2 linked regions of the Mytilus edulis genome follow. The protein of the gene in region 1 purifies or fractionates together with the protein of each later gene. This does not show direct contact. Links are inferred from orthologs where the notes say so. Each region holds a gene or a part of one and is shown in the gene's direction. Other genes may lie near its edges.

Evidence for each region.
Region 2: the proteins of chordin-like (region 1) and bone morphogenetic protein 2-like purify together in Drosophila melanogaster (affinity purification with western blotting; 4 studies listed by BioGRID). This does not show direct contact. The link is inferred for Mytilus edulis from reciprocal best matches to the Drosophila melanogaster genes sog and dpp.

The regions. Positions count from the first base shown.
Region 1 is NC_092356.1:31,116,804-31,130,375, forward strand, and holds the start of chordin-like, read left to right. Parts: upstream 1-6,691; 5' UTR 6,692-7,201; coding exon 7,202-7,328; intron 7,329-13,572. UniProt on the Drosophila melanogaster protein: Putative negative growth factor. Antagonist of dpp, a protein involved in patterning the dorsal region and in the development of the neuroectoderm; dpp inhibition is enhanced by tsg.
Region 2 is NC_092346.1:21,888,163-21,901,958, forward strand, and holds bone morphogenetic protein 2-like, read left to right. Parts: upstream 1-6,828; 5' UTR 6,829-7,517; coding exon 7,518-7,521; intron 7,522-9,841; coding exon 9,842-10,183; intron 10,184-10,864; coding exon 10,865-11,748; 3' UTR 11,749-12,290; downstream 12,291-13,796. UniProt on the Drosophila melanogaster protein: Required during oogenesis for eggshell patterning and dorsal/ventral patterning of the embryo.

The DNA.
Region 1 (13,572 bases):
TTCAGTTATAATTAAACAATTATAAATCTTCAAAACTCCTAACAATTTCAAAGTCTATACAAATAAACAAAGAAATACTGCAAAGGGGAATAAGATTTAAAAATAGAAATTTTAAATGTATTTTCATAGATTGTGTATACAATAGATGTGAATAGTTATTCTTTTCAAAACATAGTTTTGTTCAAAGATCTCAAATTAATGTATACTTTTGTAAACTCCAAACATTTAAGCAGACGTGGACTGTTAAAGTGGAGAGAGAAAAAACCCCAATACATTGATTTGATTCATCAATTGCTACTTGACGTCCAGCGACAAATTTTATTTATTATTTTAATACAATTCCATCTGCCCATTGTCATCGGTGTTATAATGTTGATAAACACAGTGAGATTATTACCTTCTTACTATTATACCTCAATGTGTTGGTAACTGTTTGTTAGTTCCAAGAATATACACTTGCAAATAACTTTCTAAACAATTTCTGTTTCTCTAAATGTCAACATTCATCCCTATCATAATTTCCCCCTTTTTTCAATATGAATAAAGCTGTCAGCTTTTCTTTTCATAATTTTCTTTAATTTGAATAAATCTCCTGGATATTGCTGAATCCTTAAAATAGATAAATAAAATTGAGAATGGAAATGGGGAATGGGTCAAAGAGACAACAACCCGACCAAATAAAAAACAACAGCAGAGGGTCACCAACAGGTCTTCAATGTAGCGAGAAATTCCCGCACTAGAAGGCGTCCTTCAGCTGGCCCCTAAACAAATATATACTAGTCCAGTGATAATGAACGCCATACTAATTTCCAAATTGTACACAAGAAACTAAAATTAAAATAATACAAGACTAACAAAGGCCAGAGGCTCCTGACTTGGGACAGGCACAAAAATGCGGCGGGGTTAAACATGTTTGTGAGATCTCAACCCTCCCCCTATACCTCTAACCAATGTAGAAAAGTAAACGCATAACAATACGCACATTAAAATTCAGTTCAAGAGAAGTCCGAGTCTGATGTCAGAAGATGTAACCAAAGAAAATAAACAAAATATGACAATAATACATAAATAACAACAGACTACTAGCAGTTAACTGACATGCCAGCAAATAAATCTATTATCAACAAATTGTCTGAATAAGTAACTAGATTCAGTTGAAATTAACATTTCTTTAGTTACAGTAGTATACATGAAATAAACTAAGTTTAATTCTAAACAATAAAGTTGTTATTATTATAACCGCATTAATGGTATCAGGCGAACGAAGCAGAAATCAAATCTTAGGAATATACATATTATTTTTTTCCCTGTGTTCTATACAACCCCATTATGGCTGATATGCTTCCATTTTCGTATATAGAAAAAAAGTAAAATCACAAATATACTGACCTCCGAGGAAAATTCAAAACGGAAAGTCCCCATTCAAATGGAAAAATCAAAAGCTCAAACACATCAAACGAATGGATAACAGCTGTAATATTTAACTATTTTATAATATATGACAAGATTTTACTGATTTATATATATATATTTTTTATATATTCCATGGCTGTTATTCAATATTATGACTTTCGACCTTATTTGAATTTTAATTTTCTCATTATATGCGGGTTCATTTAAATGTTCTTATTATATAATGACCAAAAGTTATAAAAAAAACAAATAAAACACAGAACAGAAAACTAAACTTTAGATATACGAACCCAAACCAAAAACGTCGAAAAAGTCAACATTAAATTCATTTCATTCACTACATTTCAAGAAATTTACATAAAAAATTGAATGTAAACTTTAATCAAAATTGAAGATGGAAATAGAAAATATTTCAAAAAGTGGACAACAATCCGACCATACATTGTAGAGCAGAAATCAGCAGAAGGTCAGTGGCGTAGCTGGGTCATTTTTACGTGTACGCCCGAACCTTAGCGAGGGATATGAGGGGTGCCAACCGCTCAATGTTGAAGCACATGCTGGTAGTTGGTTCGAATGGGACGAAGCCCCCGAAAGCTATCGAGAATAAGATACCGTAATGATTCCTGTCAGTAAAAATTCATTGATAGCAACATACATGACTGTACTTTTGAATCTAAATGGTTTATTTGTTTTGGTTAAATTTTGTAATATGTTAACTTATTCATCGTGTTAAACTGGAAGCTAGCCTAATGGTCATTTGTTTTAGAGAACACGTCTAAACCAATATAACTTTTAAATAAGTTTAAAGGGTGCCGTGAGTGAGCATACAATCGACAAAAGCACCTTTTAATGAACACGAAAAAAAATACTTCTAAGAGGTTCAATATAAAAAATTCTGGAACATCTAGGATTTCTTCCCCAAAAAAGTGAATCAATTTATCAGTTCTTTAAAGGGATTTAAAAAAAATCTTAAATTTTCTTTTGATAATTTTTTCTTGATCTGGAATATTTCACGACAATCTATGAAGGTTTATAAATTGAGCATGTAAAACAATTAATAGCGTAAAGAAGAGTCCGGCTATCTGTCTATCAGAAAAGAACAGAAAAATGAACGAAAACAAATGCTTTCAAAATTTTAGTTTTAGACATTAGTCATAGAAAAAGCTTCTTCGGCATTTTCATAAAATTCGATGAAGGTTCGACAAGTAGTTATGGTAATTGAGAAATTACAAAATGTAAGCCCAAACTGCGACCATTTATTAATTGCAGAAAGAAATACATTTTGTCCTTAAAATGCGAGAAAATTAAAGATATAATTGCATTATTATATTGCTCTGAATACTCTTTTGATCATAAACAGTTTCTGTCCAACTTTCGTAAAATTTCACGGAGAGTCATTTAAAAGAATTTATCCACATTCGGAACCTAAATATTGACGTCGCTTTGTCTCGCTTTTGGGACATAAATCACAGGCTCGACAAAAATACAAACAGCATATCGAATCTGATCAGATAGTGAATTGCTTTAAATATAAGAAAAAGACGTAGAATTCATAGTAGATTCAGACTTTTACAAAAGATTCGAACAAATTGATTAAATGATCTATTTGAATAAATTTAGTCCCTTTTTATTCAAAATTGCAATCCAAAAAAAGAAGAAGCACAAGGCTGATGTGCTTTTGACCAGTTTATCTTATTCTATGTCGATTATTTGTTTTATTTTCAAAATTCAAGTGTACGCCCGGGCGTTTTGACGTAAACGTAGCTACGCGCATGAAGGTCATCAAAGGGTCTTCAACACAGCAAAAATTCCGCACCCGGAGGTGGGCTTTAGTAGGCCCATAAATAAAAATGTGTCAACTTTGACACATATATTTTTTTATGATAACAAAGAAATCTTTCAAAATAGCGCAATGTTTTGGTAGCAAAGTGTTAAGTTAACGTAAAGATTTCCAATTTGAAACTTATTTATTAAAATTCATGTTTATAGTATTTGTTATTGTATAAATGTACATTTACATAATGGTTATAATGGTTTACTTTTATAAATTGTTATTTGGATGGAGAGTTGTCTCATTGGCACTCACATCACATCTTCCTATATATCTTTTTACCCCATGTTACACATTAAAAACGTTGCTTCATAATAAAAAATTTTGAAGTTGTTTTTAAATAGTTCAACTTATTGCTTGTCAACGTTGTACATTTGTTCCGCTTTACAGTAATGTCAATGTATTCCGTTAGCAGGGACGAATACTGAATATTTGTTTCAGTGGAAAAAAATGTTACAGGATATTTCGCCCAATTGGAACTTAAATGAAGAAACAAATTTCTATTTCAAAACATGTTTGCATACATCATGGAACTTCAATATTACACTTCCATGCATACATGTAGCTATAGGCTCCCCCTTTTAAGCTATACGTTCATGAACTTCAGTAGCACTGCAAGAATTTTAAGTCAAATAGTAGCCAATCAACCCATCAACCAGAAAACAGATCTATTCTATGTTTTATAAATGTTAGTTTTTATTTTTTCAAAATTTAAAGTAAATGTTTGCAAAGATGAAGGCTCTGTGTTGAAGTTAATTCACATACTTTGACCTATCATGGTTTACTTTTACAAATTGTGACTTGGCTCTCATACCACAACTTTTTATATCTATTTCCTTTTCCTTAAAGCTACACATCAGTCATGAATCAGTGAATGGATAATTTTTATTTTTATAAAACTACATGTCATAGTTACAGAGAAAATAACAGTAGCAGTTCAAGATTAAGATACATAGTGGTTGAACAACCCATCAATTAACTCTTTTTAAATATCCATTAAGCCAAATATTTAGTGGTCACTGTGGACTTTAGTATTTTCGATTTTAAAGCGCACTTATAGTAAATGATAGATAGCATGCGAAATAGAAGTTTCATCATAACATACATGTAAGTTCCAAATGAAAAAGTATTCTGGAATATTATCTCCTCTTGAATAAATATTAGAGTATATGTTCCTAACAGAATACATTGTATAGAAATGTTGTTTTAACAGGAATGTATATCATGACATTGTTTATAACAAAGTTTCTAGTGGAACATCTGTTAGGTTGAACAAAATATACTTATACATATCTTTAAGCTACATGTTCATGGATAAACTAATCATAGATACCAGGACTAAATTTTGTATAAACGCGAGACGCACGGTTTCGTCTACAAAAGACTCATCAGTGACGCTCGAATCCAAAAAAGTTAAAAAGGCCAAATAAAGTACGAAGGTGAAGAGCATTAAGGACCAATATTCCTAAAAGTTATGCGAAATACAGCTTAGGTAATATATGCTTGAGGTAGAAAAGCCTTAGAATCAGTGAATAAATGACCTTTATTCTATAAAAATACTTGTCATTGTCACACAGAATGAGGAATAGCAGTACAAAGTTACATACACAGCTACTTTTGCATAGGTACTAATTCTGTACTAAAAATATGTAGTACTGGAAATTTACTTTTAGTATTTAGTACTATTTCTTTACTTTAAAATTATTGTGATATTTAGGCACTTGTATTTTACAGAACTTGATTTGTACTAAATATTTAGGTACTTGTATTTTACAGAACTTGATTTGTACTAAATATTTTGGTACAGAAATAATACAATATTCCATGTTTGAAAATCATGATTTTAAGAGATTTTAAATAGAAAAACTTTCAAAATGCTGAAAATGTAACGGTGGTAACCACAAATCTGTAGTACCTAAATTTCCAGTATAAATAAAGTACTGTTAAATAGAGGTACCTAAATATTACAATAATTTTAAAGTAACAAAATAGTACTGAATATTAAAAGTAAATTTCCAGTACAACAGACTTTTAGTACAGAAATAGTACCTATGCAAAAGTAGCTGTGTATGTAAATCTTATAGTAGGGGAAAAAAGTCATCTAGCAATTAAATCTTTTTGAATAACCATTTTGCCAAAATATTTAGTCGACTTAAATATAATCTATTTGAAGAGAATTTTTAGAAAATGCCAGATAACATATTTTGTTTTAGCTACACATTCATGAACCAGTGAATGAATATAAAATAACATGTAATAGTTACAAAGAAAAAAAACCAGTAGCAGTACAAGATTAAGGTGGTACCCAACACTTTCACTAAAATTAATTTGGCTCGTTTAATTTCCATAAAAATTTGACAAAGTATTTACTTTGACCCTTTAACAAAAATATAAAAATTTCAAAAAATTTGAACCAACCGTTTAATCAGAAAAATTACACTGGTTATATAGCAGTTTGACAAATACTTATTTTGATCATTGAAAAGCTTAATATTCCCTTAACAACACAACGTAATTAAAACGTTTAGCTGATATCACAGAGTTATCTCCCTGTAGTGTTAGGTACCACCTTAAGTCATATCGAAGTCGAACAACCCATTAAGCCATTAACTTTATTTTAATAAACCATCATGCCACATTATTTTAGCATTTATAGTATACATGTAGACACCCTTTTCATTAAGCTTCACGTTCAAGAATCAGAGAATATGCTAATTTTATTCTTATAAAACTACTACATGTCATAGTTACAAAGAAAAAACAGTAGCAGTACAATGTTAAGTTATATAGTAGTAAAACATCTCCCAAACCATCAAATCTTTTTGTATAACCATTATGCCAAAATATTTAGTGGACTTTAATATTTCCGAATTTTGAAGCGAATTAACTACATGTAATAGTTACAAAGAAAAAGTAGTAGCAGTACAATACTAAGTTATTTAATTTATACTTTTTTAAATTGTTACATGAATGCAGAGTTGTCTCATGGGCACTCATACCACATCTTCCTATATCTATATAGAAGTAAAACATGTAACAAAACCATCAATTCTTTTGTATAACCACTATGCCATAATATTTAGTCGACTTAAATATTTTTGATTTAATTTTGAAGCGTATAAAACTACATGTCATACATGTAATAGTTACAAAGAAAAAACAGTAGCTTTCAAAATTAAGTCCTCTAGTAGTCGAACAACCCATCAAGCCATTAACTTTATTTTAATAAACCATCATGCCACATTCCTCAGCAGGAAATCAATTAAAACACCGCCATTCTTATCTTGATAATGATATGTAGTTAGAAACATTTAATCTTTCCAATTGCGAAAAGTAATCATTTTATTAACAAATAGCCCACAGACTCGATACGTCTGTATTGTTTGAAGTGGATTAACCTTTAACACCTAAAATCAAAATTTATTTATCTTTTATCGTTAACTACTTAATATCATGACTTCATTCCACATAGGATATAATAGTGAATGTTTACCAATTTTAGCACCTAGAGAAGAATTGAATGAGCGTAGGGTTTAGTCACTACGCGAGAGTGTTTACCGAAAAACTTAACTGTAGGTGTTTGGAAGTTACACTTCTCTATGCAATGTTTGATATAAAAATCCTCCCATTTTTGCGTTTTCTATTCATTCAAACTTGCGACCTTTTTATTCTTAACCAATCAACGTGGGTATCATGGTTTATCAATACAAACTCTGATAAATATATATGATAGAGCGCTTCATCAAATCTTAAAAAACATTCAATTTGTGAAAACTAAATAGAAATAAAAATTAGTTACGAAGAATTAAGAAATATTCTTGTTTGTCACGTAAAATTACAAAGAAAAAGATCGATTTGATGAATAAAAATCGTCAAGTGGTGAATAAGTTCGTGTAGATTTCAATAGAAATTGGATATTTTCTCTATTTATTATAAGATTGAAGTAGATTTGAACACATGTTTGATTTATTTAGAGAGATTTTATTACTAGCTGGGTTTGCACACCTGGTCGTAGCTGCTGAAATAAGATTTTCGGCACTACGTCCCGAACCAGAAATCAAGGAGAAGGAAAATTATCAACCAGGTAAGACGCTATTTTATATTTTAAAGAAAAAAATATACATGTTTCTATGAATTTGTTTTCTTATGCAGTTATTTTGAAGAAGTTTTTTCAACTTATTGAAGAGAAAAAAATCGGGGTAATTGCTAAGGGTTATTAACCTATATGATCAGTTTTAATAATCTTGATGGGTTCCATATGTAAGTTTTAATTATAATATCTTTCTTGTAGTATTATTGTTTTTCTTTATACATGGAACCACAATACATAAGATACCAGTCGAAGCTAGATTATGACACTGAAATTCATTTTTTTAACCAAAAATTTCTAATAGAAAATTTCTACAGTTATCTTAAATAATTCAATTGCGATAATACATTTTAATGTAAGACTTTTTCAAAAAAATTATAATCATATAAAAAAAATTAACGTCTATATCGTTTCCGCTTTTTTCTACCAGTTTGATATAAATTTTAAGCCATTACATTACGTTTTGTGTTGAACAAATGCGATTCTAAATTATTTGATTGCAAAAAATGCACTTACGACCCCTGATCATATATCAAAAGCCTCGTAATTTCGTTTAGTTGATATAATTATTTAGTATATTGATTGACAATTTAAATATGTTCTCAACATTATTACTGCATTAACAGAATGTTCTCAAGTAAATTAAAATGTGTGTACAGACTCTCTCTTCAATGGGTTACTTTGGTTTGGGCCTAGTAAATGTTAAAACTGCTCAACTTTCATTTCTCAAATATAAAGTAGATTTTTTTTTCGGAATAAAATTTCTTTTCATTTCAAATTATGAACTATAAATCTGATGGTACAGCACGGTTGATTTATAATTTCAGTTCAATTTTTCTTGGCGTTACCGAAATCGTCTTAGATTTTTATATACATATGTTATATAATTTGTTAGGTTTTTTTTTCAACAGACTTAAAATTTAGGGGACGATTTGATGATATCTTGGGATGGGGGCTGTGACAGAATGCTTATATTCTTCTTTTAAGACTCAACTGCTGTGAGCATATTAGTTTCTGAATTTGTTGGACAAATTATTCATTTTCATCCAGGTGAGGTATGTTCAATTTTTACACGGATGTTATAAGTCATTTGTCGCCCCTCCTCCCCTCCCCAAAAAATCAAAATCTTCCACTACATTTTTTCAAATAGAATATAATTTTGGAATAAAAATTATATAGACATTAAAAGATATGGTATGGGAGCCAATGAAACAACTGTTCATCCAAGTCACAATTTGTAAAAGTAAATCTTTATAGGTCAAAAGACGACCTTCACATAAGACATTTTCTTCATCTTTCAATCTTTTGTACATTCACTAATGAATACGGTCTTATTAATATAGACAACTAGATGGGTTTTGTTTTGTTATATTGTAAGTTTGTTGTCTAGACTCAGCATGACGTATATCCCCATATATCTCTTTTCTTAAATTCATATTTCTATAAAATGTATTTCCTCTATTGTACTAAGATTTTGATAACTAAATCATTTGTTTACCGTTTAATTATGTTTTAACTGTCTCGTTGATGTTTATAATTCTCCTATATCTATTTTTAATCTTTCTGTTAAAGATAATCTAGATTGTTTTAGGGTAAACAAGATAAATATGACAAGAAAAGTAATGCAAGGGAGTAATCATTTTTATACTTTATTCATAACCATTTCTCCAAGTCGCTATTAAGGATGTTCGCTACTCTGTTAAAAATAACAAGCTTTTTAAAAGACTGATATAAATTGAAAGTATATATTAAATAAAGAAACAAAAAAAGCAGAAAAAAATTGAGGGTCTGTGTGCTTGATTTCGAGATATAAGCCGTTGAAAATTTGGAGGGAAATAATTCTCTCTAGGTGTAATTCAATCTTATATTGATAATAACAATTAGAATTTAATACAAAGGACATAACCATATCTCCAGTGGGGGGAGGAGAAGGGAGGAGGCGGTTTTTTTGCGGATTGACTTTTGCACACGATAGCTACTGTTTTTTGTATTTTTTATTGCATAATATTCATTTTTATTCTTTGTTATGAAAAGTTATTTATTTACAGCCTTTATCGGTCCAGACCATTCATTTTCAAAATCCTCCTCGACCCTAGAAATCACATGATCGTCCCATAAGTTGGACCCTTTTCTAATTATCGCTTAAAAGTCAAAGTAATGTATTAGTACCAGTAATATCATTGAGAATGTTGTTAATAATTTAAAATCGGGATTACTATAAACCAAGTTAAAAAAATAATATTGGAATGGAATCATAATTGTAAATTTTAGGTACCATCCTTTTGTTACGAAGAGAGATGTGTATATATATCATATTAAATTGCTTAGCTGAAGAAAAATACCCATATTGAACACAACAGTTGAAAGGATTACCCAGAAGTCACAATCTGACAGAACTAATTTCATCATCTGATCACCCACAGACATTTGGTTCAATTTATTACATACTCTAGAAAAAGAATACGCGGAAGCATTTTCTTTTTGTTAATGATGATCAATTTGGTTCCATTAAAAAGTATAAGGGATCAATTCAATACGATAAATCTCGTCACTGTAATCTTATCGAGCAGTGGGATCGAAACGGGGAAAATCTTAGAGACAATTGTGGTAAAATTTCCTTTCTGAACTTCATTAAGGATGTTCGCTCCTTTTTTTTTTTAAATTTTTGCCAGATATTCGGAACCCTCTGGTTTTATCCATGTAATTCCGTTGAAAAACTTTGCCTTCAAACCCCTACTTTTTTTCCATTGCAAATAGTTTTAAAAGACAAATTGAAAATCTTATAAAATCCTTTTTACTTTTTCATAGTTTTTGACAGGGAAAAAGTGACAATGATAAATGTATGAAAAATTCAGAGAAAAACATTACCCGCCAAATTTTTAATGGCTTATATCTCGAAAGCATGCTCACGAATCTTTCATTTTTTTTCTGCTTTTTTGTAACTTTATTTTCATACTATCAATTTTTAAAAAAAAGTTTTGAAAAGTTTGTAATTTTGAAACTGAGTAGCGAACAGCCAAGGTTGCCGTACAATAAAAAACGTTTAGTTTTTTTTACTGGGAGCTAGAGTTGTATTAGTAGTGATTTTTAATTAAAGAAAAAACAATAATAACCCGGCCCTTCACACGTGTATCTCCCAAGATATGAATATCACCAAATTTTTTCTTTTCAACTAGTAAGTGTTGTTTGGTCCTTATAAGGATTTCAGTGTTGACATCCAATTTTGGTCAGTCCCTGTGATTTTTATTTATTCATTGTGTAGACAATGAAACAATTTTCAAACCGGGTCTCTGATCTTTAAGATTTCTTGCAGATAACAATTTTATTGTTTGTTTCCCCCCCCCCCCTAAAAATTAGAAAGTTTTGAAAATGAGATGAGTGATGAAATTATCTGAATGAAACAATAACAAATGACCATCCATCGAAGTATTGCAAGAGCGTGTTGATTGACCGGATCTCCATATTAAACATTATGAGAATATCATAACTTTGTTTTTGTACAGTATACATTTGGTGTGGCCGAGAGGTCTAAATAGTTAACTACTGTATCACAAGCTTGTCGGCACTGAGATTGTGAGTTCGACCCGCCCCAAAAGGTTCTACTCAAATTTTAATTGACTAAGATTGCCAGTTTCCCCTTCCGAAAGTGGGTGTTTCTCTCTTGGCACATCGGCTTCCCGATCCACCAGTAAAATCTGATTGACACGAAAAAACTTGCCAATTGGGCTGAAAGTGGCGTTAAGCATATATCAATCAATCAATCTAGCTGTATATAATTAAAGGTGTATGATTTGACATAATAAGCTATGGAATTGGGAATGTGTTCATTGATGCGTTCTACTCCAATCTTATAATTGACTAAGATAGCAAGTTCTCCTGCCGACGGTCGGTATTTCTCTCTTAACACTTCGCCCCCCCCCCCCCCCTTCCAGTTAAATTCAATCGCGATGATAAAGCCAATAGGGCTGAAAGTGGCGTTAAACACCAACTATCAATCAATCTTGTTTTATGCATTTACAGATGTATGATTTGACATAATTGGCTGTGGAACTGGCCATATGTTCTCTTTTTTTCTCGTTTTGATCTTAAAACGCAAAGGAAGTTTTATTAAAAGTGTACATCTGATAACAGGAAAAGCATTTTTACATGGATATTTTCTCTTTGTTCTTTCTTTAATTAAGAAAAACTTCTGACCTACAACGAATAATTGTTTACTATAGACTAATTCTATAAAGACTTGGCCTTGAATAAAACCTCATTTCTACAGAATAATTAGTTACAGTAAGAAATACTTTCGCTAGAAGGTTATCACGAAGTATTTGCAGTGCAATTTAAAGAGCTTTACAGGCCCGAATCCAGGGTACGATTGGAATGGATGATATAGAGATTACACGTGATTGAGACATTAGAGAAGTTATTTTGACACAAATACTGCTGTAACTTTTCATTTTTTTATTTGAGAAAAAAAGGATGAAAAAAGGGGAGAGTGTACACGTGCACTCTGAATCTGCGACTGTTTTATGATTTAACATTTACAAGCGGACTTGCGATTGTATATCTTTAGATCGATAGGGTCTGACGTGTTTCGTATTTTTCTTAATCTTTCAAAGATTCTTGCACTCTGAAAAAAATTACATTATTACAAATTGTATAAAAGTCGTAATTAATAGGCATAGATTCGTCCTTTTCATTTAAATCTGCTTCGTTTATGTTGTTTTTATATACTTCTCAAAATGCCAATGACCACCCGAAAAATTAATTAATTAATTGCTGCATGTTTGCTTAGCCTCCAGTTGCATATATCTCAAGCATTTTTCAGAATGATAAATGGCCGTCTGAAGAAATAAAGAATCTGTGAAAATCTGTGACGATGCCTTAAATATTTGATTTGTTTAAAGTAAATTGTCTCAAGGTAATCGTTTTGTAATCAATTACAGGATAAATTATAAGATAAAGCTATTATTCAGCTTAACCTCATCATCGATCTAAAATTGTACTCAAATATACCATATTGTTTGCACTTGTCCTTAATCAGGAACCTGATGTTCAGTGGTTGTCGTTTGTTGAATTGGTTCATAAATGTTTCTCATATTTTATATAGATGGTCTGTTTGACACTCATACCACATCGTCTTACAAAATGTATATCTATAGACCGTTGTTTTCCCCCGTTTGAATGGTTTTACACTAGTAAACTTTTGGGCCCTTTATAGCTTGCTGTTCGGTGTGCGCCAAGGCTCTGTGTTGTAGACAACTACTTTGACCTATATAATGGTTTAATTTTACAAATTGTGACTTTAATGGAGAGTTTTCTCATTAGCACTCCGAAAGATATCAAATCTTATATCTATATAAAACGCACTCTTGTTAAACAAGCTCTTCGCCGCCCCCTTCATAATAAGTTTGACATCATTTTCTTACGTTTGGTTACTTATATGTATTCATAAATATTACAAAGATAGGTTAGAAAGATGTCTGTTCACTTTTGGTATAATATGAAATATCAAAATAAGTAGGTATATATGTATATATGATTACCAACGAGACAACATAATCCACCGGAGACCAAAGGAAGAAGAAGCCTGTTCTTAGCCAGGAACCTGTTACAGTTGATTGACGTTGCCTTTGAGTTATATTTGTTTAATGATTAATATTTGACTTAAATCTCCTTGCATCGATAACAGATATGTACAATGGTTGTCTCTTTTGAAATTTTTCCCTTTTAGTTTACAATGGTTGTCTCTTTTGAAATTTTTCCCTTTTAGTTTACCCTGTGCCTTTGATGATTTACCTTCCGATTTATCCTTTGTCCAAGCTTAAGATCATACTTATCTGCATGGTTATATGTCTTCACATTGTATTTCTTGTCTGTGTTGACCGATTGTACATGTTTATCCCTTTTAAGGTACCATCTAAGTCTTCCGCCATCTTGGATTGTACAATGGTAGAAATCGACTAGTCTAAATGTTTAATAAGAAAAGGATTTTGGACAGAAACGTAATTCATCTGTTAGAATTTTCATTAAAGCTAATAAAATGGTTGAATTTGATCTTATCACAAGGATTGTTTTACAAACACAGGATTCAGTTTTTAAATTATAATCCCATTAGGGGAGACAACTCATTTGTTTAATTACTTAAAAAAATAAATAATTATACAACAGGAAAAAAAGACCACATTTTTTTTCTTTAAATTATCCAGACGCATTTAATAAGAGCTATATTTTTGTATCTATTAAA
Region 2 (13,796 bases), on another chromosome or scaffold:
TTAAAATATATATAATTTACAATGTACTAATAAACTCAAAATCGTAAACTTTTTCATTTTCCCAAATTTGCGCAGAAATCTCTTTCATTCTTACTTCCGGTCTCGTTTGTCATGAGATTATGAAAAACAACAGAAACAACACTGGAAACGTTTCAGTATTTCTGTTTCTTTTAGAACATGAAAATATGATAGAATTTTAAAAAATGTAATTGATACGGACTTCGTTCCCTTTCACAGGTAACACCTGTTTCATATTATCAGTTACAGTAGCATGTTCGCAATAGATTTCACACTGCATTGTCATAAACATTTTTATCATATACGTAAAGAAAATAAAAGTATAATTGTACCCCATGATAAAACTTATGTATACATGTATTTATTCATTAAATTCGAAGAATTGCCTTAGCCATGAAATATGACTTTTGTTATCAACTGCTTCCGGTTTATATCAGCTGCTTCCAGTTATCATCCCATGCTTTGCTGTAACGTTATCACATGGCAATACGAATTCAATCGGCAAATTCCAGAAAATATCCCTCAATTGTTCCGGTTATTTTATGTGTAAAACATAACAAAGTTGGATAAAAAGAATATATATTTTAGGAATCAGGAAATTATTATTGAAAAAAGCAAAACAAATATTACAATAAAAGCATTTTTTTCAAAGTTTTAAAAATAGTGTTTGTCTGTATGTCTTCTGTTGAAGTATGTGATAAAAAAAACATATTAACATGTCATTTTTTGTTTATATCAGACCCCTTATCAGCCCATGGTCAAAATCACCCCTGGAGCCTGTCGGCTCTCGGGCTGATATCATGACATCTGAGGACTGATAAGAGTCTGATATAAAAAAAAAAAACCACCATGTTATAATCTATATATATATATATATATATATATATATCTATATTACTGCTATATACGTCGTAGAAGATACTTCTGGAACAACAAAAAAAGTATGCGCTATTTAGAAGGAACAGCGGAACATTTCTACGAAGGAACAAGAAATTATTTTGAGTAAGAAAGGAAAAGTAGTCTCGTTTTGACAAATTTGTCATGAAGATTACGTTAGAAATTATAATAGAAGGGACTTGCTGCAGCGCCCGTCTTCTGAAGTCGTTATAAGTATGTTGAGTTATTTGAATTATATTAATAGTTTAATAATCAAGTGCAGTCCTAAAATACTCCGAATTCACTGAATATTTTGAAACAACCTGACTGCATCACTTTGAATTGTGTTTATCAAACCTTACATTTTGTAAAGATATAATTAAACGTTCTAGGAAAACTGAAGTCACTGAGAAACACGTGTTCACCGTACGGCCTTCGACAATGACTACAACCGATACCACATAGCCAGCTATGAAAGAATCCAAAAATAGCAGTTGTAAAAAAAATCATATGAGTAACTCACGGCTTGTTTTAAAAATAAATATGATATACAGCAACAAACGACAACCACCGAATTGCAGGCCCTTGACTTCGGAGTCTACCGCCGTTTCTAATAGTTTTATGAAGTTTGATGTATATTGCTCAAATTATACTCAGGTTTCGGATATCAAGATCCCATAACTCTGGCCGAATGACAATTTTAACTTATATTGATGTGCCTCTCACTATCTGTCGGTTCTTCTGTCCGTCCTGTCTCAAAGTTTAGCTTATTGACTCAACTTGACTGATCTACTTCCAGCTAATCTAATTTTTAAAATGCGTCAACGTGGCCAGATAAGAGGAGCGGTCATTTTTAACGTTGATTAAGTAAAAATGAATTTTAACAGTATTTGTACATTTAGAATGTCTTGATTATTTACAGAGTAGATGTCGATATCTCGTTGAAATATCTTTCAAGTGCATGTTCGTTGGTTCATTGCAAAATCAGCTTTAAAATGTGATTCATAACAGTAAAATTTTACGATTACAAGATTGACACAGATAATTCCAATTGAATTACTTAATCATCAGACGGTAACTTATCTCCAAAACGAGCATGATAATGTCCAAGCAAAAAAAAAAATACCCCTATCAACTCTTTTGATGTTCAATAAGTGTACGTTTTGGTTTTGTTGCTGAAATTGAATCATTGCGACAACAATAGATATAAACGTACACCTATATTAGTTAAACGACTATTGACATTTTGCTTGGGTAGTTTCCTAGATATAACTGATACATGTGGTTTCTGGCGGAAGGTTGACAATCATACCACGTAATATTATTAATTCGTATAGGGATAGTCACATGTTAAACTATATTTTCGAAGGTAGAGAGAAAACGGCGGATAGCAAAACGCATATTTACCTGCAAAAAGCATATTGCACGGTTATTTTTAGAATATCTAAAAACCAATATACTTTGTGACGTCAGGTAATGAATTTCAGGATATTGTTTAACGTTTTGAAACACATGATATCTGTGATCGATTATTTGACGAAAAAAATCTTGAAATACATAAGATGTCAAAAAAAAAAAAGTCAATGAAATAGCAACTAATATGTTGTTATTGTCAAGAAGACAATCTATAAAATTCCAACAAACCTAAATGACATCCTCAGTCAATATACTTCTTTCAGGTCAATATATCCTTGTATCGACCTTATACAAAGGCTATATTTATATATTTTTTTATGTTTTAAATAGTTTTTAAGTAAATACATTTTTTTCCCGTATATTATAATAATTTGAAGCTTCTTCAAATTTGGACAGGAGGCCTCGCTTCGGTTGACAATTTTTTTCTCGTGGTAACAATCTGGTCTTAGCACCCTCTCAGTTATGTGTTATTTACATAAACGCATATTTGATGAATGTCGGTGTTCTTATATCTGGATCACACAGCTCTTTTAAAATAATGTATGGTTGAAATATAATATCAAAGCAAGATTGTGTGATCAAATTCATGATAAATCTGACCATATATTACTAAAATCAATATCAATAAATCGAAATGCATTACTTTCTACATGCAATCTGGAAGCAACAGTATATTTCGGAGACCAGTTAATTGTGTATCCCTTTCTCACTATTTGGTTAAAATAGCATATCGCTGCCATTTAAACACGAACTTACCAGGGAGCGACGTATTCGTAATACGCGGGTCTGGTGTCGGGTTTTGAAAGATTTCATTTACCAGTCCATAAAAATCCTTTGTTTTCTGGTGTGGCAACAAATTATTACTTACAAACAATTAAGAATAATTATTTACAAATTATGACAGACGTGTGTGTCCTTTTTTTAATGAAAACAGATGACCGTACAAAACAATGACCTGTCCCCAAATCAATAAATTATGTCTATGTCAAAAAAGTATTACTAACCTGTCAATTTTACCAGTTACACTATCAATTAATTCACCAACAAAACATATATGAATTTCTGAAGAATCATGGCGAAAAAAATATGCCTCGTATACTCTTGATATAATAAAAAAAAAATGTTAATATAATTTATTTTACTCACATGCAAGTAAAAATTGAAACATTTATAATTTAAGAAAGTTGTAACTGGTTTAATAATTGCTGTAAATAGGTCCGACCGCATTAATATCCTCGTCAACTCTTATGGAAAGAAAATTACTTTATAAGTGCTACTGTGATATTTAACTATTTTTTATATTTTGTTATTAAACTATTTCGTTCATTAATTTGTCTTTATTTGATTGTTTGTCACAAACCTTATTAAAAATTTATACCTATAAAAAGTCTTTTACAATTCCATTCAATGTTTCAATTATACATATATTATCAATCCTTCAATAAATTTCAATAAAATATTGAATTGAGTAAACCTTTGAATTCAGATGGTAATTGTTGAAATTCTTCAGTTTTACAGCTTGTGACACCAAACTTGTTCAAAACACATGTTCGGACAGACAAGTGATATAGAAATTAAGTGAAGTTAAATCTTTGTAACATCTTTCCAATTATGCATTTAAAAATGAAATTGGTTCATTATAAGTATAACCCGGTCACCGTAATATTTAACGTCAGGGTATACATGTCCAAATGAAAACTACTATCCAATCTTACCCATACTGTACAGATGTTGTAGTGCTCTTTGTTTGCTTCTTTGTTAATTGAAGTCTTAAAAACAAATGCAAAACCTATTGATTGTGCTATAGAAATTGTGACTTAAAACTCGTCTATGACACGAACACCAAGGACCAGTTTATCAAACTTAAATGGCCATTAACAGAACAGTAGCGCAGGTGTACGACCTATTTTCTACACAGGAGGCGGTACCCGTCAGTCTTTTTTTCTGTGTTGCCTTGTCACAAACGCATTCCCATGGATTGTTTTCACAAATAAGTAATACCTTATCATTTTAACATTGTCAAACACCTGGTTTCAATAATTTTGTATGTATATACTAAAAGGAACAAATTGGTAGCTTTTCAATTAAATGACATGGGTGGAATTATTTTCTGTTTTTGTACTCCAGGAGGCGTTACACGTTTGTCGAACTCAAGTACAACAATCAGGTTTTAAACGAACTTTTTAGAGAAGATGATTATAATTTGATGTTATCTTGCCACTGTTGTTAAAAGTGGGCCTTTTCTTCTTTCGTTACTAAATTAAGTGTTGTGTGTCATAATATTCCACTTACATGCACTTTTAATCAATACACATGAATGAAGTTCAAAAGGAAATTGAATAATACAGGAACCAATCTAGGCTAAACTAAACGTCAAACAAATCCTCAAAACAAGTATGTACAATTAACCTTTTATACATGTTTATAACTTCCCAAATGCAAGTTTAGTTATTGCGTACTTTCTATGTTTAAGAGTACTACTTTGTTTTGTTGTATATACGAGCATTACTCTCATGGAGCACTATACTGCAGTGCAATATTTCGTTATGTGCTGAGTTTTTTGTTGTATTTGTGGCATTCATCATGTTTTGACGCTGTCAAAAATATGAAATTTGAATCTGTATGAAAACGTTTGTCAGAAAATGGTGCTGCTGTAGCTTTGTTCCAACGGAAAATTGCACTTTTCCAGGTAAAAATATAAACAATGTGGTCATAACATTAACGGTTCCAATTATATGCAGGCTAGCAGATGCGCATTTCTACAATTGATGTCTCTTCAGTGATGCTCGAGAACACAGCATTTCTACAATTGATATCTCTTCAGTGATGCTCGAGAACACAGCATTTCTACAATTGATATCTCTTCAGTGATGCTCGAGAACACAGCATTTGAAAGTCTAAAATCTACTACAAACGTTAAAGAGCTGATAACGCAAAAATGACAAGTAAAAAAATAACACAGACAAGGAATCAAAGCTCATTTACGAATTTAACTATATAAACAATCATATGCATGCCGCACTTCTTTCAGCGCATTTGACAACAACTTAACTGTGAAGCCAAAATATAAGCGTTATTTTGCCACAATGGTATAAAATTGACACGGTTCCCAATTGCACTCTTTTGTCAAATGAATAAAAAGATCTAAATTTTCCAAGGTAATTTTAAGGTGGCACTGGTTATCTTTTCTTTTCTTTTCTTTTTTTTTTTTTATTTGTGATAGTTATATTGATCATACATATTTTGTTATGAATTATAAACTCCTATTAATCAAAACATTATTGGTAAAAACAACTTTTTTTTTCCTTTCGTTTTAACTTAATGGTTAGATAAGTAATTTTGTGATGACATACAATGTCAACATAACGGCAGCGGTATTTAAGAAATATTTGACAAATATCCCTTAATTTTTGTCTATCTTAATACGTGCCTTAAATTGATTTTGGATACATAGTACTAGTAATACAAACAGCTATAATAATGAGACACTTCCTTAGCGGGTTGGGAGGTCAATGTCATTTATCTATTTTACCATTCTGGAATTTTAAACGACTTTCATTTTCTATGTTATCATTACTACGTCAAAATGTTAAACAGTCGTATGATAAGATTTACAAACGAAAAAAAAACCAATATGTGCAAGAAAGAAACAATTTGGGTGTTGAAATAATGAAAAGATTTACAAAGGAACAACCAAAAAGGTAATTAAACAAATGAATGAACTTTTTTATTTACAATCAACACCTTTTTGTGTAATTATCTATCTATGAGATTCATGGAGTGGTAATTACAAAACAGATGGTCACTCTTCATTAAATTTAAGTTTAATAAGAAAAACTGTAGAATGGTTCAATCAAGATGTTTTGATAACACAGATAGCCCGCCCTAACAACATCTGTATACCCACTCCTTAACTGAGAATTATGAGCATAACTCGTAATAACAAACAATAACACAGTACTTATCTTTTCAATTAGCTATAATCTACAGGTAAATTAGATTATAATCTAAGGTAACCCGGTAATTATGATTTGATAAACCACCAAAATATTTGTACAGTTATGGAGCGAGCTAGAGAATGAGCATAAGACATGTCAAACTAGAAACAACAAATATAATGTATATAATACCCTCAAATCATTCAAATATTATAATTATTCTTTTACAACAATTATTCCATAGTGCTGAACAAATTTGCTAAATATTCAAGAAATTGAAGACCGTTTAGAAAGACAATAGGTATATATATACATCTATTTAACTTTGTAAATTACGAATTGCTTTCTAAATACAGATATGGTAACAATTTTGAACGACACAAATTTAATTCGAAACAGCTTTAAAGTAAACGAATACAAAATTTTTAGCGATTAACCAATTGAGTGGAAACATAATCTTTTTAAAAGAACCCTTGAAACGTCTTTGAAATACGATCTATTTAATGTGAAGGCATTTAAAAGTGAAATCTAAAAACACGTAGTATCTTTGCAGATGTATTTTATGAATGAACCGGCGATTTTTTAGTGTACATTTAAACCCGTTTGTTCATATAAACTTCCCTGATTTAGCGATAAGCTTACTTTTGGAGCATTGAAGGAAACGCATATTTTGTAATTATGAAAAGAAAACAGAATTATATTGTTTCCACTTAGTAGGTTACCTGTACATGACGTCACAACTTTTTAAAATGACTGTCATATTTTTGCGCAAGCGCCGCTATTCTGTAGTACACTAAAGGTAACCTCCCCCACTTGCCAATCAGATTTAGTTGTGTTCTGCTGTGTTGAATAAGTGTGATTAAAAAGTATTTTTTCTAATCCGTTATAACATGTAAATCAATGACTATTGTACATATCGGAACTTAAGTTTGTGAATGTGATTTAAATGGTGTATTTGAGTTCGTAATTAAAGAAGAATTGTATATTTATAGGAAATTATGATATTTTGGTGCATAAATAGTGAACATTGATTAATAATTTTCGAAATTGAGCTAATTGTTTTCTTATCAGTATTTGGATTAGACATCTAATATTTTACAATGGATTATGCGAGAACATAAGAAGTTCAGAATTGTTTATTAAGTAGCTTGTTAGCGGAGGAGTTAATTTCTCAGGATACATATTTAAAACAATGTGAGCTATGCTAGTGTATGTGGATATTTATTACTACATACCAATGGACGGACAACACGTCTTCCAATTCATTGGATGTGTAAGTATTAGGACATTGTCCATTAGAATGAGGGTTATAAATACTTAACGCAGTCGGGTACTTAAATATCTGTATAGTAAAGCTATAACCGTAAAATGAACGAAGCAGTAGGTTTAATCTAAACTATGCAAACTACACATCTAATAAATGGATTTAATATTCTTGTATATTTATTTTCGGTGATGAAAGGAAAATTAAGGATCTAGTTATAAAAGGCTGTATTGTTTGCATTTTTAAATGCCTGGCACCTGTGGTTTACACATCAATATCATTTCCTTTAGAAATCTTAAGGATTTGCCTTAACAAAATAGCGCATTTAATCGGATCTTTACTACTTTATATCAAAATTGATTGATGAACTCGTAAAATATTTAATTCTGTACTAGCGGAATAGCATAACATAAAATATTTTAAATATGTCTTGTTTAAAAACGCCTCATTGAATTTACTTTAATGTCAACATTTTCCAAAATAATAATACTTCTTTGGTAATACGATGGGAAATCCTCTTTATCCGGAACCACGACAAAGAAATAACAGTTTTAAATTTTTTCGTGTTTTATATTTCATTGTCGTCTATAATAATAAAATGCCAACCATAACTTGTAAATGATGTCATTCGTCTGTGAAAAAAATTTGACAAAAAATCAAACATACTTTATGAATGATAAATTTTTGCTAATAAAATAAAATCCAACCTAGTCGTCATTCATTTTCCAGTCTGTACTGTATAGTACAAGTATGCCTAAGGTTATAAATCATATGGCCAATCCATCAGTTACCTTCCAATAAAACTACAACTTGTTGATTTTCTACATATTTTCCATCTTTGTTGTGTCACATTTTATCAGTCAAAGAAATCTTCCGTGGTGACTTGATTGAATCTTTTTCATTCATCTTTTTAAAGACATGGTGATTCTATCAAAATTAGATGTCGTTTACACACCTGTAGGCTTAGAAGACAAATATTAATTACTCCGAACAAATATATCAATTATGTTAACGTGGAAAACCAAACTATCGCGTTAAGTTTCTTTTTGTATTCATTATTTTATGAAATAATAGCAATGCCGTTTTTGCTGAATGATGGAAGTTCTGATGATTTGAGAAAAACATATTCAAAAGTGCAGATAAACTGATTTTTCCTTAATTTATTGGTCGTAGAATTTTGATATAAAGTTTTGAAGTTGTTGGTGATGTTTGTGATTATTGATAAGGTGCCTTTGCCGAACTTACAATGATATGAAAGGATTTAGTGTTAACAACGTTATCTTTCTTCTAAATTACAATGTAATACTTTAACTCATTTATTGTCGATTTGAGGATCGGTGCTAAAACGACTTTCTACTCTACAGTCTGATAATAGACTGATAAAACTTTAGTAAAGTTAAGTCAATAAAGATCGCTTTGCCCTTTTAAAATAATCAAATTTATTGGATTCATAGGAATTTGAAACACTTTCTTTGCAAGTTAGAGATTCTAAAACTAGTGTCGATTTGTTTAGTTTTATTTTACTATAATTTCATTGATCATATTATTGAAAGTTGCAATATACATTTTTATCTTGTGCCACCTGTTTGACGATATGTTTTATTCGCTTTTCGAGTAGCATGGAACGTGCTTCTATATATATGTATACATAAAGTGTTTAACCTTTTTCAAAATAAATAGCATAATGTCAAACGGTCCTTGTTCTATTTGCATTACAAATATGTCTTTGAAACTAACATCGTTATTATCTTATAAACTAAATAAGAAATCCGACTCAAATGGTTATGCTTTTTGAAATAAAAGTTTTATGTATCCAATATTGTCTATTAATGAATTGCACATACCAGATGTAGTTCTATGTAAAGAAGGGTGACTTGCATTTCTTAATATGTATTGCTAACAGTATAGTGCACTTTATGCCCTACATATCAGCGTTTACTATTGCGTGAGCAAATCGTTTACTATTATATTTACATGGTATAACATTTCTTCCGGATTTATAATGCAATAATCAAATGAGGTACAATTTTCAGCGTAAAATCTACTTGATGTTGAAACATGATTTTTATGACATTTACCATTGGAATTCACCTGCGAGACAAACTGAACTTGCGGTAGACATTAGTAATTGTAGGCGGTCACACTAGTTACTATTAACCTAAGTACGTAAATGTCCAAAATAAGTGGTTTTCATTTAACCAGTTTATATATACATATATGTTTATTTTACGTTTCTGTTATGTTAGTAATCCTATTGTTTGGGTTTTAAAATAATTAAAATCTTATCTTACATATGATTCAAAACTAATTAGTACTTTCTTCTTTTCAGGCAATTTCATCATGATTTGCGGATTCTGGACCTTTTTGTTTCTTGCTTGCGTTTTGGTAAACGGAATTGTTACAGTTGATTCATCAGACACTGGAAACTCGTTACTGGACAAAGCCTTATCAAATTATAATGATAAGGAAAAACAAAATATCATCCAGAATTTTGAATCAAAATTGCTACAAATCTTTGGACTGAAGAGCCGACCAAAGCCAAGTTCCGATATTATAATACCTCAGTATATGATAGACTTGTATAACCAACAGATCTCAGCGTCAAATAATTTACAGTTTGCAAATAGCAAAGCTGCCAGTGCTAATACGATCAGAAGCTTTGTACACACAGGTATGTATTCAAATACATTAGAACATGTTAGACTCGATGGGGGGAAATATAGTGAAAATGGAAAACAACTTTGTCTCAAGTATTTTTCAGTTAATGGATACATTTCACTCTTTTTTTATATTTGGAATAGTTGTCCTTAAATGATTTCAAATTCAGACGACTAAATGCTCAACCTATTCATATTGACATTGATAATACAAAAATACTGGATTCCCAATACAACTCCATCAGAACTTAAACATGTGGTATTATAAAACAAAGGTTTGACCATAATTTAGAGAAAAAAGCTGTCTGGTTTAATGAAAACTATTGTAGTAAAATATATTTTAAAGTGTTTAACATCTCTATATCTATAGAGGATTACTCTAACCAGCAAATTTAGTACACACATATATGTTTAAAAAATCATTCTGTATGCATGAAGTCTTTGAGTATATAACTGGAAGAGTAGTCAGATATAAACTTACTACACGTATATTGAATGAGTTAAAATTTAAACTGAAAAGGCTCATCTTGTAGACATTAAAATCAGCCAACTCATAAATACCAGATTCCAATAAAATTTGGTAACATTAAACAAGAAATAACCCAGTTTGATAAAAAAAAAACTATTGTAATTTAGCATATCACAAAATATCTTAGTTTGATGTTTGATAAATTTATTTATTATAATTTTTGTAGATAAACCTGATTCCGGATCATGTAATGAAGATAGCTGTGTTAGGATGGAATTTAATATCTCTAATATACCAGAAGAAGAAGTGTTAACTGCAGCAGAACTTAGAGTATTTTTGGATAAACACATTAGTGCTAATAATATTACAAGAAGAAAAATACTTAGACACAAAATAGAAGTGTATGAAATTATGCGACCGGGAAACACAAATGTTGATCCAGTTACGCGACTTGTAGATGTTAAACACGTAAAAACTAAGAATGCAACATGGGTTTCCCTTGACATTCACCCAGCAGTATTAAAATGGCGTAAAACACCTAAACAGAACCATGGAATAGAAGTGCGAATTAGTTCCAGCAAACTGTCTCCGTCCTTTCAAAATTTTAAACATGTGCGTTTACGGAGATCAGTTTCATTATCAGATTCAGAGTGGCATTCACAAAGACCTATATTAGTGACATATTCAAATGATCAAATACAAAGCCGGACTAAACGTGCATCAAATAAAAATAGAAATAAGAAGAAAAAGAAAAAGAAACGAAAAAATAGGAAAAATAAAAAGAAGAAATTTAAAAATGGATGTAGTAGAAAACCTTTATATGTAGATTTTGATAAAGTAGGTTGGAATGACTGGATAGTAGCACCTTCTGGCTATAACGCTTTTTTCTGTGACGGCGAATGTCATTGGCCATACGCCGATCATTTAAATGCAACAAATCATGCAATAGTGCAAGACTTAGTTCATTCTATAGATCCACGGTCTGTTCCTAAACCGTGTTGTGTACCAACAGAACTATCACCTATTTCATTGTTATACATTGATGAACATGACAAAGTAGTACTAAAAGCTTATCAAGATATGGTCGTAGAAGGTTGTGGATGTCGGTGACAAAAGGGGAACTTGGTTGTTATTTATTTGTTAAATGTGATATTTATTTATTTGTATGAAATGTTATTGCTGTGTGTGTATCAGTGAACGAAACATGAATGCGAAGGATGCAAGAAGAAGAGCGAGAGAATGGACTTTATTTGTAGTCCTTAAATATTTCATGAAAAGCAATGTCATAGCGTTCAGCAATTTATTGTTATTATTTATGGTGCTGATTAAACTAAAACCTGATGCATTTTGAATCGCTGAAATGTGCATATTATCATTCATACATTTATTATGATATCAACTCTGTTTATGTACACGATATAAAAAAAAAAACCAATCTACTACCTGTTTAGTAAAAGCATCATATTATTACTTCTTTTTATTTTAAAGTTTGTTTATTTTCATATCTTCTCACAAAACATTTGAATGAGTGTGATATTCTTGTACGTATTTAAGCTGAGCGCTCCGATAAAGTATTTTATGTTACAATTGTATATACAGTGTTGTATAAATAATGACGACTTTATTATGGGTAATATAAAAGTCAAAACTAACCAAGTGTTTGTGTTATAAATATCTCCATAAATGCTGAAAATCAATAAGTGTACATATGGCCTTTTCAACATTTTAAATGATGTCAATTTGTTGAATTGGTAAAACGGGGGATAAATACTTTGCGTATACAAAACCAGTGTTCCATACCGAAGATTTCATTTTACTCCAGCAATTAACATCCCTTAGATTTGATTTATATTCTGCACATGACGTCCCTCTTAGAAGTCGACGATCTGCACACAAAATCAGTTGATTAGAAGAAGGATATGGGAAACTCAGACAAAAATAAACAGCAAACCACACAGAGTATTTGAGAAGAACTTTTTCAAGTGGTTTAGTCATAAATAAGACAATATTTCTCATTGTGCAAACAAGCATGTAAACACGAAGGACACATCTCAAACGCTACAACGATATACCTGCCATTTTACCATAGGGTAACATACCGATCATAAAGATACCTATATTTGTACAATTTACGTGGTCATACTTAAGTCAAGCGAATGAAACAGTTAAAAAGAAAAAAATAATTGTTCCGAATGAACGAACACACAACCAAAAGCAGTGAATTATCTATTTATTTTCGTAGGCCTTTTAACAATGACCACGAAATACACCATCACAACCATAATCCCAGTTAGATGGTTACGAGGAAGGCGGAACAACTTGTGATGGTAAACGATTTAAATTATAAGATATTTCTCATTATGAATTGTATGAGCGGCCCTGCATGAAACAAAGCTAGAAATGGAATTTATCTATGTTGAAAAAATATTTTAGGAATGCAAGACCTTAATCATATGATAACTTTCCGATTGTACTATTTTGCATTTTGCCTTATATGAATGTTTAAAAGACTTGAAATTTAAAAGGCAAAAGACACAAAAGGCACATAGTTCTGTCCTTTAATGGGGGTGGGAGTATGTAAGCAGTTAGTATATTGGATTGTTAGCAAACTAGCAAACATTTGGACAACAGCCCATTAGTTTTTTTCCCAAAGTTCAGTAAAGTTTATATGTTCATAGTGTCTTCTTCTAAATATTTGCGTTGATAGTTTTTGAACAATCCACTGTCCGATTAATATCATCATATCAAGACAATATTAATAGTTCGGTTCTATTTATTTAGTGAATTGTATTTCTACACCTACAATATGGTCTAAATATGCGTTATTTACAATAACTAGTAAATAAATATGGTTAAGATTTTTTAAAATTTTCTTGAGTGCGGGAGGTCGTGGGTTTGAATCTTGGTCAGGTCAAATCAACATTTGGTATTTGTTAATCAAGCGTCATTTATCAGATAGAGACAATTACTGACCGGCCTGGATTAAATATAATGTATCCAAAATACGGATTACGTTGTGCGGACTTTACCTTGTGAATTAGAACATTAAAAAACAAGAATGTGTCCACAGTACACGGATGCCCCACTCGCACTATCATTTTCTATGTTTAGTGGACCGTGAAATTGGAATAAATTCTCTAATTTGGCATTAAAATTAG